Linked DNA regions of Macaca mulatta. The protein of the gene in region 3 interacts with the protein of the main gene of each other region in a pairwise test. Links are inferred from orthologs where the notes say so. Each region holds a gene or a part of one and is shown on either strand. Other genes may lie near its edges.

Evidence for each region.
Region 1: the proteins of REL (region 3) and FLAD1 interact in binary tests that used the Homo sapiens proteins (3 or more experiments, as listed by UniProt). The two-hybrid records come from large-scale screens. The link is inferred for Macaca mulatta from reciprocal best matches to the Homo sapiens genes REL and FLAD1.
Region 2: the proteins of REL (region 3) and SEC14L4 interact in binary tests that used the Homo sapiens proteins (3 or more experiments, as listed by UniProt). The two-hybrid records come from large-scale screens. The link is inferred for Macaca mulatta from reciprocal best matches to the Homo sapiens genes REL and SEC14L4.

The regions. Positions count from the first base shown.
Region 1 is NC_133406.1:112,014,594-112,017,997, forward strand, and holds part of FLAD1 (FAD synthase), read right to left. Parts: intron 2,303-3,404; coding exon 1,558-2,302; intron 854-1,557; coding exon 706-853; intron 255-705; coding exon 156-254; intron 75-155; coding exon 1-74. UniProt on the Homo sapiens protein: Catalyzes the adenylation of flavin mononucleotide (FMN) to form flavin adenine dinucleotide (FAD) coenzyme.
Region 2 is NC_133415.1:21,040,098-21,043,844, forward strand, and holds the start of SEC14L4 (SEC14-like protein 4), read left to right. Parts: upstream 1-1,146; 5' UTR 1,147-1,256; coding exon 1,257-1,310; intron 1,311-3,509; exon of another isoform or gene 3,510-3,525; coding exon 3,526-3,601; intron 3,602-3,747. UniProt on the Homo sapiens protein: Probable hydrophobic ligand-binding protein; may play a role in the transport of hydrophobic ligands like tocopherol, squalene and phospholipids.
Region 3 is NC_133418.1:63,901,194-63,904,940, forward strand, and holds the start of REL (proto-oncogene c-Rel), read right to left. Parts: upstream 2,639-3,747; 5' UTR 2,331-2,638; coding exon 2,321-2,330; intron 2,171-2,320; exon of another isoform or gene 1-2,170. UniProt on the Homo sapiens protein: Proto-oncogene that may play a role in differentiation and lymphopoiesis.

The DNA.
Region 1 (3,404 bases), on a different chromosome or scaffold from region 3:
GGGGGTGCCGTGCCTGCAGTTCACCCAGGGCCTGCTTCATGCTGCCCTCAGCTTCCAACATCTGCAGATTATACCTTAGGAAGAAACAGAAGTAGGGGTCGGGAGTGAGCTCTGTCAAGCTTCTCTTGGAGCCCAAACCTCCAGGCCCCTAGTACCTCTTGATAGTATCCTGTAGAAATTGTTCCAGCTCAGGGAAAGGGGAGATGCTGCGGATATACAGGATCTGGAGGGGGTTTGGAACATCAGGTAATTTCCTGCGGAGGGGGAAGAATCCACAGGCTTGCCAGCATGGACAGGGAAATGGCTCTCCTGAAACAGCTCACTGTTCTCTTTGGCCCCTGGAACAGACTCCCACCCCTTCTCTCTTTTCCTTGTCCTTTCCATCCATTAGACCCACTTCCTCTGGGAAGCCCACTCTGACCTTTCACCTCTCAAATCTAAACACGCATCCCTGGTTCAGGTATGTAAATCTCCCATCTCCCCAGTGGACTGTGACTTCCCTGTGGTCAGGGATAGTGGCCTGCACATCCATACACAAGGCCAGGCACATATCATATGCTCAATATGGTGGGAGAATGGAACTGAGAGATCACCAAGACTATCTCCCCCTTGAACTCCACCTATACACTCCCTCTCCCCTTGCTTTCTGGGATGTGGAACTGGAGAAACAGATCAGGGGTCTTGTCTCCCAGGGGGCAGGCTCACCTCTGCACAGCTGCATGGAAGAGGTGCAGGAGGGCGGTGCAGTCTTTGCCCCCGTTGAAGCCCACACAGAGCTGGGTGAGGCTGTACTGAGCCAGGGCGGTCTCAATGGTCTGTAGGGCACCTGCCACCTTTTCCCCCAGAGAAGACCCTGCCAAGCAGGCAGGGAAGAGGGCATCAGATGGACACATATGGCTATCAAAGGGGAGTGAAGGCATGCTGCCCTTGCTTAAACCCTTCGATATCTTCCCAATTGTCTGAGGATAAAGTCCAAACTCCTTCATGCTGCTCACTAGGCCCTGCAGAGTTGGCCCCTGACCTGCCATCTGCCACCCAGCCACACCTCACGGTAGCCTCAGTGTCATTCCTCCGTAGCAGGGGGCGTGGGGTGTGGGCTTCCTTCCATTCCCCTAAACCCCATGCTGCTTCCTTGCAGGCCATCATTCATACTATTGGCTCTTGCCCACCTACTAGACCAAATCCTCCTTATCGCTCAGTTTATGTCACTTTGCCTTCTCTGACCCCAGATCAAGGCTGATCTCCCTGCTGTGGGAGATCACTCCCTTCATCACCCCATGCAGGATCACCTGTTTAATGTCCATCTTTCTTGTTAAAACACTCGTCCACAAGAGCAGGGCATACATTATTCTTTTGGGCTATATTCCCAACACCTAGCACAGTGCTGATGAAAGTAGGTACTCAATCAACGTTTATTGGAAGAATAATGAATTAACAGAAGCTATCTTCTGCCCTCCCTGGGATTTGCAGGAAGCACCCAACAGCCCCTGCATTACTGAGATCTGGGGTGGCACCAATGGCTTTGGGCATACTGCCCCTCCTCCATAAGGTCCCTACCTGATTCAGCGAGTTTGTATACAGCCTCACTGGCCTGCTCCACGGCGTTGGGCATGTAGGGGACCAGCGATCCCTGGGGCAAACGGGCAGTCAGGTAGGCCAGGCATTCCTCCAGGGGTCCTTCTTCCTCTGAGTCTAGAGTCAGCTTCACCTGATAGTAGTTGCTGCCCCAGTCAGGGTAGGAACCCAGGCCAAGCCTACGTCCAAAGTGGGCCTGGGCCTCAGCCAGAATGGGGGCAATGGAGGCTTCATCAGCAGCCACATACAGCTCCTTTGAGTGGAACTGAACAGCTGGGTTTTGGAACAGTCCCTTCAGCCCCTCCAGCACCCGCTGCAGCAGCTCTGGAATGCCTGGGAAGAGGTAGACATTTCGGACGGAGACCAGTGGGAATCTGAAGGGATGACCAGTGCGAGGATCTGTGCCGTAATGCAGGCGGGCAGAGGAGGGCACCAATGACAGCTTCTCCCAGCCTTCCCCTCCTAGGGCTTTGGTGGCTGCTTCCAGCTCAGGGTGTGGCTTCAGCTCATCCCCAAAGGCCCGTGCCACTGCCTCAAAGGTCACATCATCATGAGTGGGGCCGATGCCCCCTGCTGTGAGGACATGGGTGAAGCGGTTGGAGAAAGAGGTGACCTCAGCTGCAATGGTGGCTACCTCATCAGGTACAACTGAGACTCGGCAAACCTGGACCCCTAGGGAGCGCAGTGTCCGGCACAGAAAGAAGGTGTTGGTGTCCTGAGTGTGTCCCTGGGGGTTGAAGGGGAGGATGAGGCCGTCAGTACTGTAGGGATGAAGGGCAGGGGGTTGGAGATGATGGCTGCATCCACCTGATGATGCAGTGCTCTGCTCTTTGAAGGACACCACCTCAGGCTGCTGAGGGGCCTGGACTGGACACAAGAGTGGGAAAATCCATTTGTTTGTTTTTAAAGCTGGGTCTCTGTCACCCAGGCTGGAGTATAGTGGCTCAATCACAACTCACTGCAGCCTCAACCTCCTGGGCTCAAGGGCCACCTCAGCCTTCCGAGTAGCTGAGACTACAGGTGCGTGCCACCACGCTCAGCTGATTTTAATTTTTTTTTGTGGAAATGGGGTCTTGCCATGTTGCCCAGGCTGGTGTTGAATTCTTGGTCTCAAGTGATCCCCCTGCCTCAGCCTCCCAAAGTGCTGGAATTACAGGTGGGAGCCACCACGCCTGGCCTGCTTTCTTCTTTCTGTCCCCACTGCCACCAAGCAGGTCCTTAGCACCTTTCACCTGGACAATGGCAACAGCTTCCTGGCCAGGCTTCCAGCCTCCAGCCACAGTGCTCTGCTCTGTCTCCTCAGTAACCTTTATTAATGCGTCACTGTGATTGCATCACTCTTGGACTTAAAAGCCATTTGTTGTTTCCAAATGTATACAGAATAAAGTTCAAATTCCTTTGCAGAGTATTTGGGGCTGTCTGTGGCGTACACCCTATCTTCTTTTCCAGCCCCATCTCCCTCTAATTGTCTACAATGGGTTTAGTGGTTAAGGGTTTGTGTTCTGATGGCCGGGCGTGATGGCTCATGCCTGTAATTTCAGACCTTTGGGAGGCTAAGCGGGGTGGCTTGCTTGAGCTCAGAAGTTCAAGACCAACTGGCACAATATGGTAAAACCCCATCTCTACAAAGAAATAAAAAAAACTAGCCGGGCGTGGTGGCACATGCCTGTAGTCCCAGCTACTTGGGAGGCTGAAGTGGGTGGACTGCTTGAGCCCGGAAGGCAGAGACTGCAGTGAGCCGAGATCGTGCCACTGTACTCCAGCCTGGGTGACAGGGACCCTGTCACCAAAGAAAAAAAAAGGGTTTGTGTTTTGGAGTAAGAGATTAT
Region 2 (3,747 bases), on a different chromosome or scaffold from region 3:
AGAATCTGGCTCTGTCGCCCAGGCTGGAATGCAATGGCGCCATCTCAGCTCATTGCAGCCTCAACCTCCCAGGTTCAAGCGATTCTTGTGCCTCAGCCTCTCAAGTAGCTGGGACTACAGGCGCAGACCACCATGCCCAGCTAATTTTTGTATTTATTAGTAGAGACAGGGTTTCACTATGTTGGCCAGGATGGTCTCAAACTCCTGACCTCAAGTGATCCGCCTGCCTCAGCCTCCCAAAGTGCCAGGTGCCAGGATTACAAGCATGAGCCACCACGCCCGGCTGAACTTTTTTCTTGCTTTTCCTGGTGATCTCCACCTGGCTCTCTTGTGTCAGGCAGAGCGGCCTCTTGGCTTTCCGCCCCCTCTGTCACTCTGCCCAGGGCTTTCATTGGTCCTCAGCTGGCACCTTGCATGCCTCCGCCTTCAGACTGTGGCTCTCACCCAGGAGCTCCGCACCTGGGACATCCCAGTATCTCCACCCCTGCAGCTCCCAGCTCTGGTGACAGCCTCAGTAATAACACAATTCTGAAATATATTCCTACCAGCCAGCACTTAGTAGGCAATGCCAGGCATTCTGCTGACCCGGGGTACATCCTCTTATCCTTCCAACTGTCTTGAGGGCCGGAACCATTTTGCACATAAGGCTGTCCTATCAGTCAGTGAACACTGACAGGTCCCAGACTGTGTTCAAGGCAGGGGAAGGAGCTTGGGGGTCCTTAGACAAAAGCCTTGGGGGTCCTAGAGAGTTGAGCCAGGTTTATTAAAAATTCCTCCATGTTGGCCAGGTGTGGTGGTTCACATGCCTAATCCCAGCACTTTGGGTGGCTGAGGTGGGAGGATTGCTTGAGGCCAGGAGTTCCAGATCAGCCTGGTCAGCATAGCAAAACCCCGTCTCTATTTAATTCAAAATAAGAAAAAAAAAAATTAAAAAAAAAAATTTCCTCCATTTTGCTGGAAAGAGGATCGGGATCTTTCCTGCCACCTGCGAACAGGCGGGAGCCCCCGCAGTAAGGAGGCCTGGAGGTGGGGGCCTCCAGCTGCCCCAGGTCATTCTCCCGGCAGGTCACCTCCCTGTCCCAGGTAGGGTGCGCTTGGTGACCACAGCAAAAAATCCTCGAGGGGAGGAGAGAACTGGGCAGGGCGGGGCAGGACCAGCGCCTCTCCCGTCGGGGCGGGACCAACATCTGGCCCAGCAGGCACAACCAGGCGGCAGCGGATACCAGGCGGCGGGCGGACCTGCGCCCGCGGGCACCATGAGCGGCCGAGTCGGGGACCTGAGCCCCCAGCAGCAGGAGGCGCTGGCCAGGGTGAGGGGCATCGCGGGCTGGGAGGCTTGGGGAGGGGCCCTGTGCAGCCTGGCGCTGCCCAACTCGGCTGGAGCCCCCATGGTAAGGGCTGGAACACCGAGCCTGGAGAGAGCGCCGCTGTTCTGCCCTCTGGTCCTGAGTGCGGTTGCTGAGGCCGCTACGTGCAGCACGCGGGACAGGAGTCTCTCTCTGGGTGATCTGGGGCCGAATCCAGTCTTCTGACCTTGCTTGCTCTCCACCACCCGGCCCTGGTCCTTCTCCCCGGTTGTGGGGGAGGGATTGGCGCTGCCATCTGGCTGCTGGGGCAGCCTTGGGTAGACAGACTCCTTTTCATGCTCAGGTTGCAACATTTGTTTGTTTGGTTTCTCTTTGTGATTTGTTCACAGGGCCCAAACTTCCCTATCTGTAATCTTTTTTTTTTTTTTTTTTTTGAGATGGAGTCTTGCTCTGTCCTCCAGGCCGGAGTGTAATGACACAATCTCTGCTCACTGCAACCTCCGCCTCCTGAGTTCAAGCGATTCCCCTGCCTCAGCCTGCCAAGTAGCTGGGGCTACAGGTGCCCGCCACCACACCCGACTAATTTTTGTATTTTTAGTAGAGATGGGGTTTCACCATATTGGCCAGGCTGGTCTCAAACTCCTGACCTTATGATCCACCCGCCTTGGCCTCCCAAAGTGCTGGGATTACAGGTGTGAGCTACTGCGCCTGGCCTCATATTTCTAATCCCAAATTCGGATTCACAGATTCACCTTCAAACCCAGCTCTTGCCTTCAGCTCTGTTAGTCCCCAGGGAAGTGAGATCGCCTCTCTTTCTCAGACCCAAGCCTCAGTCACAGACCCAAACTCTAAATGACATCCTTCAACTCTGCCAGTAGGAAAAGGCACGCTTACTCCCCGACAGCCCCAACAGATGTCCTGATAAGGCATTCGTGGCTTCTCTTTCAGCCCCTGTCTGTTGACCTCTGCCTCTGTTTTTTTCCCACACAGCCTCCACTGTCTGGGGCATCAGGCAATCCACGCTGGCTGAGTGCTCACATTTATCTGACACCTGCTTGGAGCCAAGCCTGCTAAGTGTTTTACGTGCACAAACTCCTTTGGTTCGCACAAGTTTATTATTATCCCCATTTCACAGATAAGGAAACTAAGGCTCAGAGAGGTTTGGTAACTTGCCTCTAAATCTAAACCCTTAAGATGCAGTATCAGGGATAACATTCCTAAAACCCTCTAGCTGGCCTGCAGCAGAATCTCCCAGGGATACTTGAAAAAATAAGGCTGGCAGTCGGGTGCGGTGGCTCATGCCTGTGATGACAGCACTTTGGGATGCCAAGGTGGGCAGATTGAGCCAAGGAGTTTGAGACCAGTCTGGGCAAAATGGCAAGACCCCATCTCTACAAAAAGTACAACAATTAGCTGGGCGTCTTGTGTGCCTGTGGTCCCAGCTACTTGGGAGTCTGGGCTGGGAGGATCTATTGAGCCCGGGAGGCGGAGGTTGTAGTGAGCCAAGATCACGCAACTACACTCCAGCTTGGGCAACAGAGTGAGATCCTGTCTCAATAATAATGATAGTAATAGTAAAATAATAAAAATCATAATAAAATAAAAATTAAAAATAAGGATGCCAGGGCCCCACCTTAGACAGGTAGAATGGGAGTCCTGTGTGTAGGGCACCCCCAAATTTTGGGAAGGACCCAATTCTTTTTCTTTTTTTTTTTTTTTTTTTTTTTTTTTTTTTTTTTTTTGAGACGGAGTCTTGCTCTGTCGCCCAGGCTGGAGTGCAGTGGCCGGATCTCGGCTCACTGCAAGCTCCGCCTCCCGGGTTCACACCATTCTCCTGCCTCAGCCTCCCGAGTAGCTGGGACTACAGGTGCCCGCCACCTCGCCCGGCTAGTTTTTTTTTTTGTATTTTTTAGTAGAGATGGGGTTTCACCGTGTTAGCCAGGATGGTCTTGATCTCCTGACCTCGTGATCCGCCCGTCTCGGCCTCCCAAAGTGCTGGGATTACAGGCTTGAGCCACCGCGCCCGGCCCCCCAATTCTTTTTCCTATGTTGGGCTGGAGGGTTCCCTGTTTTCAGATGGCAAAGTTGTTCAGGGCAGCACCCTGCATGGTCTCCAGGTGGAGTTGACTGGTGGATGAAGTGGGAAGGGTTAGGGGTGGGGTTGGTGGCCCCCAAGGTCATGAGAGTTCCGCTGACCATCAGCTCTTCCCCCGCTCAGTTCCGGGAGAACCTCCAGAACCTGCTGCCCATGCTGCCCAATGCTGATGACTACTTCCTCCTACGCTGGCTGCTAGGTGAGGCTTGCAGGGGCCAGGGGAGGCGGAGAGGGAGGGAAGGAAGGAGGGTCTCAGGAGAGGAGTGGGAGGCTTTGGGGAACAAAGCTGTAGAGTAGTAAAGAACACAAGCTTGCCGGGCGCGGTGGCTCACGCCTGTAATCCCA
Region 3 (3,747 bases):
CAAAGAGAATCTAAACTAGACAACGAAAAACTAAGCAATTTCTTTTTCTTTTTTTTTTGTGTGTGTCACTTTTCTGGTTAAATTGCTGTTTCAAAACAGAATAGGAATTTAGAATTTCATTACTGAATCTTTTTCTATCTCTAAGGTCTTTATAACAGATTAAGGAAAAGTACACAGATTCCTTTAAACATTTTCTTTTTTTTTTTTTTTTAATTCCAGGCTTGGCAGTTTTCTAACAACTGAATTACAATTTAAATAACTTGCTACATTTTAAATAGTGCCATTTTAATGCAACTCTTGAGAAAAGACCAAAAAAACAAAAAGTTAATCACCCTTCAACTTCTAAACCTTTAAAATTTTCTATTTCTTTAAACATTTCCTCCTTACTTTTAGGGAATCCTTCCTCCTCACAACAGCACAAAATACAGTGTCAATGAACAAATTTAAATTGTATTACATTTTAAAATCCTGTGGGTCTTAACAATACTCTATACAGAAATGGTTGTTTCCTCTCTCATTTGAAAAAATTGTAAGTATTACATTTATGCAATACATCAATAAAGTTTGATTAAATCGCCAAGAGGCTGAACTTAACTTACAATGCTAGGCATTCTTCATTACTTCCAAACAAAATCTTTCTGATAACCAATAAATTAACAAAACATTTGAAGTCATCTTAGCACTTCTAATCTACACATGCTTTGAATTCACAAATTTACAGGATTATCTGAAAGTCTGGTGTCACTTAAGTGGGAAAAGGGAAAGCTGAAATATTTTAAACTTCACTTAGTATTCTCACAACCACAGACAAACTGAAATCAAATGTCATGTGAAACACCCCAATTTCCTTTTCTGCCTACAGCAGTAGCTATGGCATTGTTCTGCTCAACCTTTTAGAAAGGTTCTTTAAACTTCCTACTTCCTCATCTCCACTAGACATCAACCAACTTCTGAGGGTCACTGGACCAGGCAGTTTTGGGATGCGAGTCAAGTTCATAAACGGTGCCCCGTCTTCACTCTCTTAGGTACAGCATTTAACATATGCATTTAGCCCTCCCTGCCTTTGCTCACGCTGCTTCCTCTGTCTGGAAAGCGCCCCCCACTCACCTTGGCAAAATCCTGGTAAAAGACCAACTCGAACCCAGGCTACTTAATTTCTCCCACCACCCCGGCTCTCCCGTCCCCCCAACCTTGAGCTCCAGGCACCCCGAAACCACGTCTGTGCATACAGGAGGCTCTTCCCTGCTCTGCAATGTTTCTTATAAATTTATTTCCCCCCAAAGGGAGAGATCGAGCATTTATTAAGGGAAAATATACAGTCAAATAAGTGATAAAGTTGTATTCACTACTACCCATTATTTTAAAGCACGGATATTCTAAAACTCCTCTTTCCCCTTATTTCCAGCGGGAAGGAAGGGGGATTCAACGTCTCTATTCGTCAGATTAGAAACTGTGTGCTTTATCTCACAGTAAAAATTACACACTCTATTTTTTTTTTTTTTAATAGAGACAGGGTCTCTGTCGCCCATGCTGGAGAGAAGGGGCGCGATCTTGGCTCACTGCAACCTCCACCTCGCCCAGGTTCGAGCGATTCTCCTGCCTCAGCCTTCCGAGTAGCTGGGATTACAGGCGTGCGCCACCACGCCAGACTAATTTTTGTATTTTCAGTAGAAACGGAGTTTCAAAATGTTCGCCAGGCTGGTCTCGAACTTCCGACCTCAGATGACCCGCCCGCCTCGGCCTCCCAAAGTGCTGGGATTACAGGCGTGAGCCACCGCGCCCGGCCTACACCTGGTCGATGCAACATTAACACTTAAAATACCACGGATTTTTAAATTCGTGTTAAAATACCACGAATGATTTTTAAAGCCGTGCAGCATTTTGTACAACTGTCAGTACAAGGGGGATCACCTCTTTGCATTTGACGAAATTAAAAAGGGGGAGAGAGCTTGCCCGAGGTTTGAAGGTTCCTCATTCTTGTTCTAAAACATAAAACCACCACTTCAATACATATCCATTTTTAACATGAGAACTCCTCGTCCTCCTTTAGTTCGCTTATGACTTCCCTAATCCTAAAATCAAGTCATTAGGAATTTATAAGTTTCCTGCTATGACAACAGGATCAAATTACAGACCGCGGCTTGGATTTTGCACGCAAGCCCTGAAACAGGTAACTTTTTTAAAAGCTGACAATTTTACCATATGAGATTTTAAAGACAGAACGCGCCCCAGCCAAAACTGAGCTCCCTAAACTCACAGCGGCAGGACCCCAAGAAAAGCTCCTTCCCCCCGGCCCAGGTCCCCGACCCGGAACACTCACCGGAGGCCATGGCTCCGTTCCCCGCACCTTCCCGCAGGCAGTTCCCGGCGTCCTGGCCAGAGGCGGCCGTGGTCAGTCAGTCAGTCAGTCAGGAGGCCGAGGGACCTCTGCCGGCGGGGCCCCCAGTCCCCCGACCACCCCAGGGTCCTCCTCCTTCTTCCCGCCCTCCGCTGGGTTTGCGGCTCACACCTTCCCACCCCCTGAATTCTTGCGCTCCGGGTCACCAGCGTCGCCCGTCCACCGTGCGGGAGCCAGGGGCAGGGGGCGCAGCAGGGCGAGAGCCGAGTGCCGGCCAGGCCGAGAGGCTGGCAGCCTGGCGGGAGGGGAATTTCCCGCGGCTGACGTAGGCCCGGCGCAGCCTTCAAGCCGGAGGCGTGGGGCGGGGCGTCCTAGCTGCCGTCGCGCGCGCGACCGCCCCCAGCGCCCCGCCCTGCCCGCCCCCGCTCACGCTCACCGTCCGCCCCGGCGCGTACGCCCCCGGCGCTGCTGCGGCGGCGGGCTTGGGAGGGGGTCGAGGGAGCGGGAGCTTGGGGTGGGCTTCGGGAGCACAGGGAACGGCGGCAGCCGGGAGGTCGCAGCGTGAGAAGGCCGCCGGCTCCCGCGAAATCCCCCTCCTCCAGGTTGTTCTTCCGAGTGTGGTTTAAAGTTCAGGAGCGGGCGGGGGGGTGCGGATGACGTAGAGAGGGCCGGCCGCCCGGGAGCTTTTAGGGGCGCGCCGGGCGGCCGAGCGGGGCCGACCCTCCAGGCCGGGGAGGGCGACGCCCGGGGTTTTCGAGAGGTGGTTCCCCCTCTTCCCGACTTCGCGCATGCAAATCTCCACCCCCGCGCCAGCGCGGAGGGGGAAGTGCGGCTGCGGCAGAGCCTGTCTTCTTCTATAATTCCTCTATTTGCATACGGGGACCCCCCCACCCGGCTGATTTTTTCCTCTTTCTATCTAAATTGCGAGGGTACTGTGAACTTTACGTCTTTTACCTACTGAAACCCGTTTAAACTCAAAAGGTCCGCACATCCAGGTCGTTGTCTCATTACGCAGTGCGCTGAAGTTTAGTGGACACTGTATCCTGAGATTTCACACAGATACCAAGAAAGGGGGAAATGGAGCAAACATTTAGTGCATTAAAGGACCTAGGATAACTTCGTTTCCTTCATTTGAATAGTACCTGCTATGCGTCAGATAATGTCTATACCTAATCTATGACGTATTTATTATTCCTAATTGTATAGATGAAGTATTCGGGGTTCAGAGAAGTTACTTCAATATACAGCACTTCCAAATGCTGGTAAGAAAAGGCACAGTTTAAAAAAGCCAGGGTTGTCTGACTCCAAAGCTCCATACCCTTGCCCCATCCCTTACTAGTTAAAATAAGTACGGAGAGGGAATGGGGAGTATCAGCCTGCCATACAAGTGCCCAAAACTGGGGGACCCA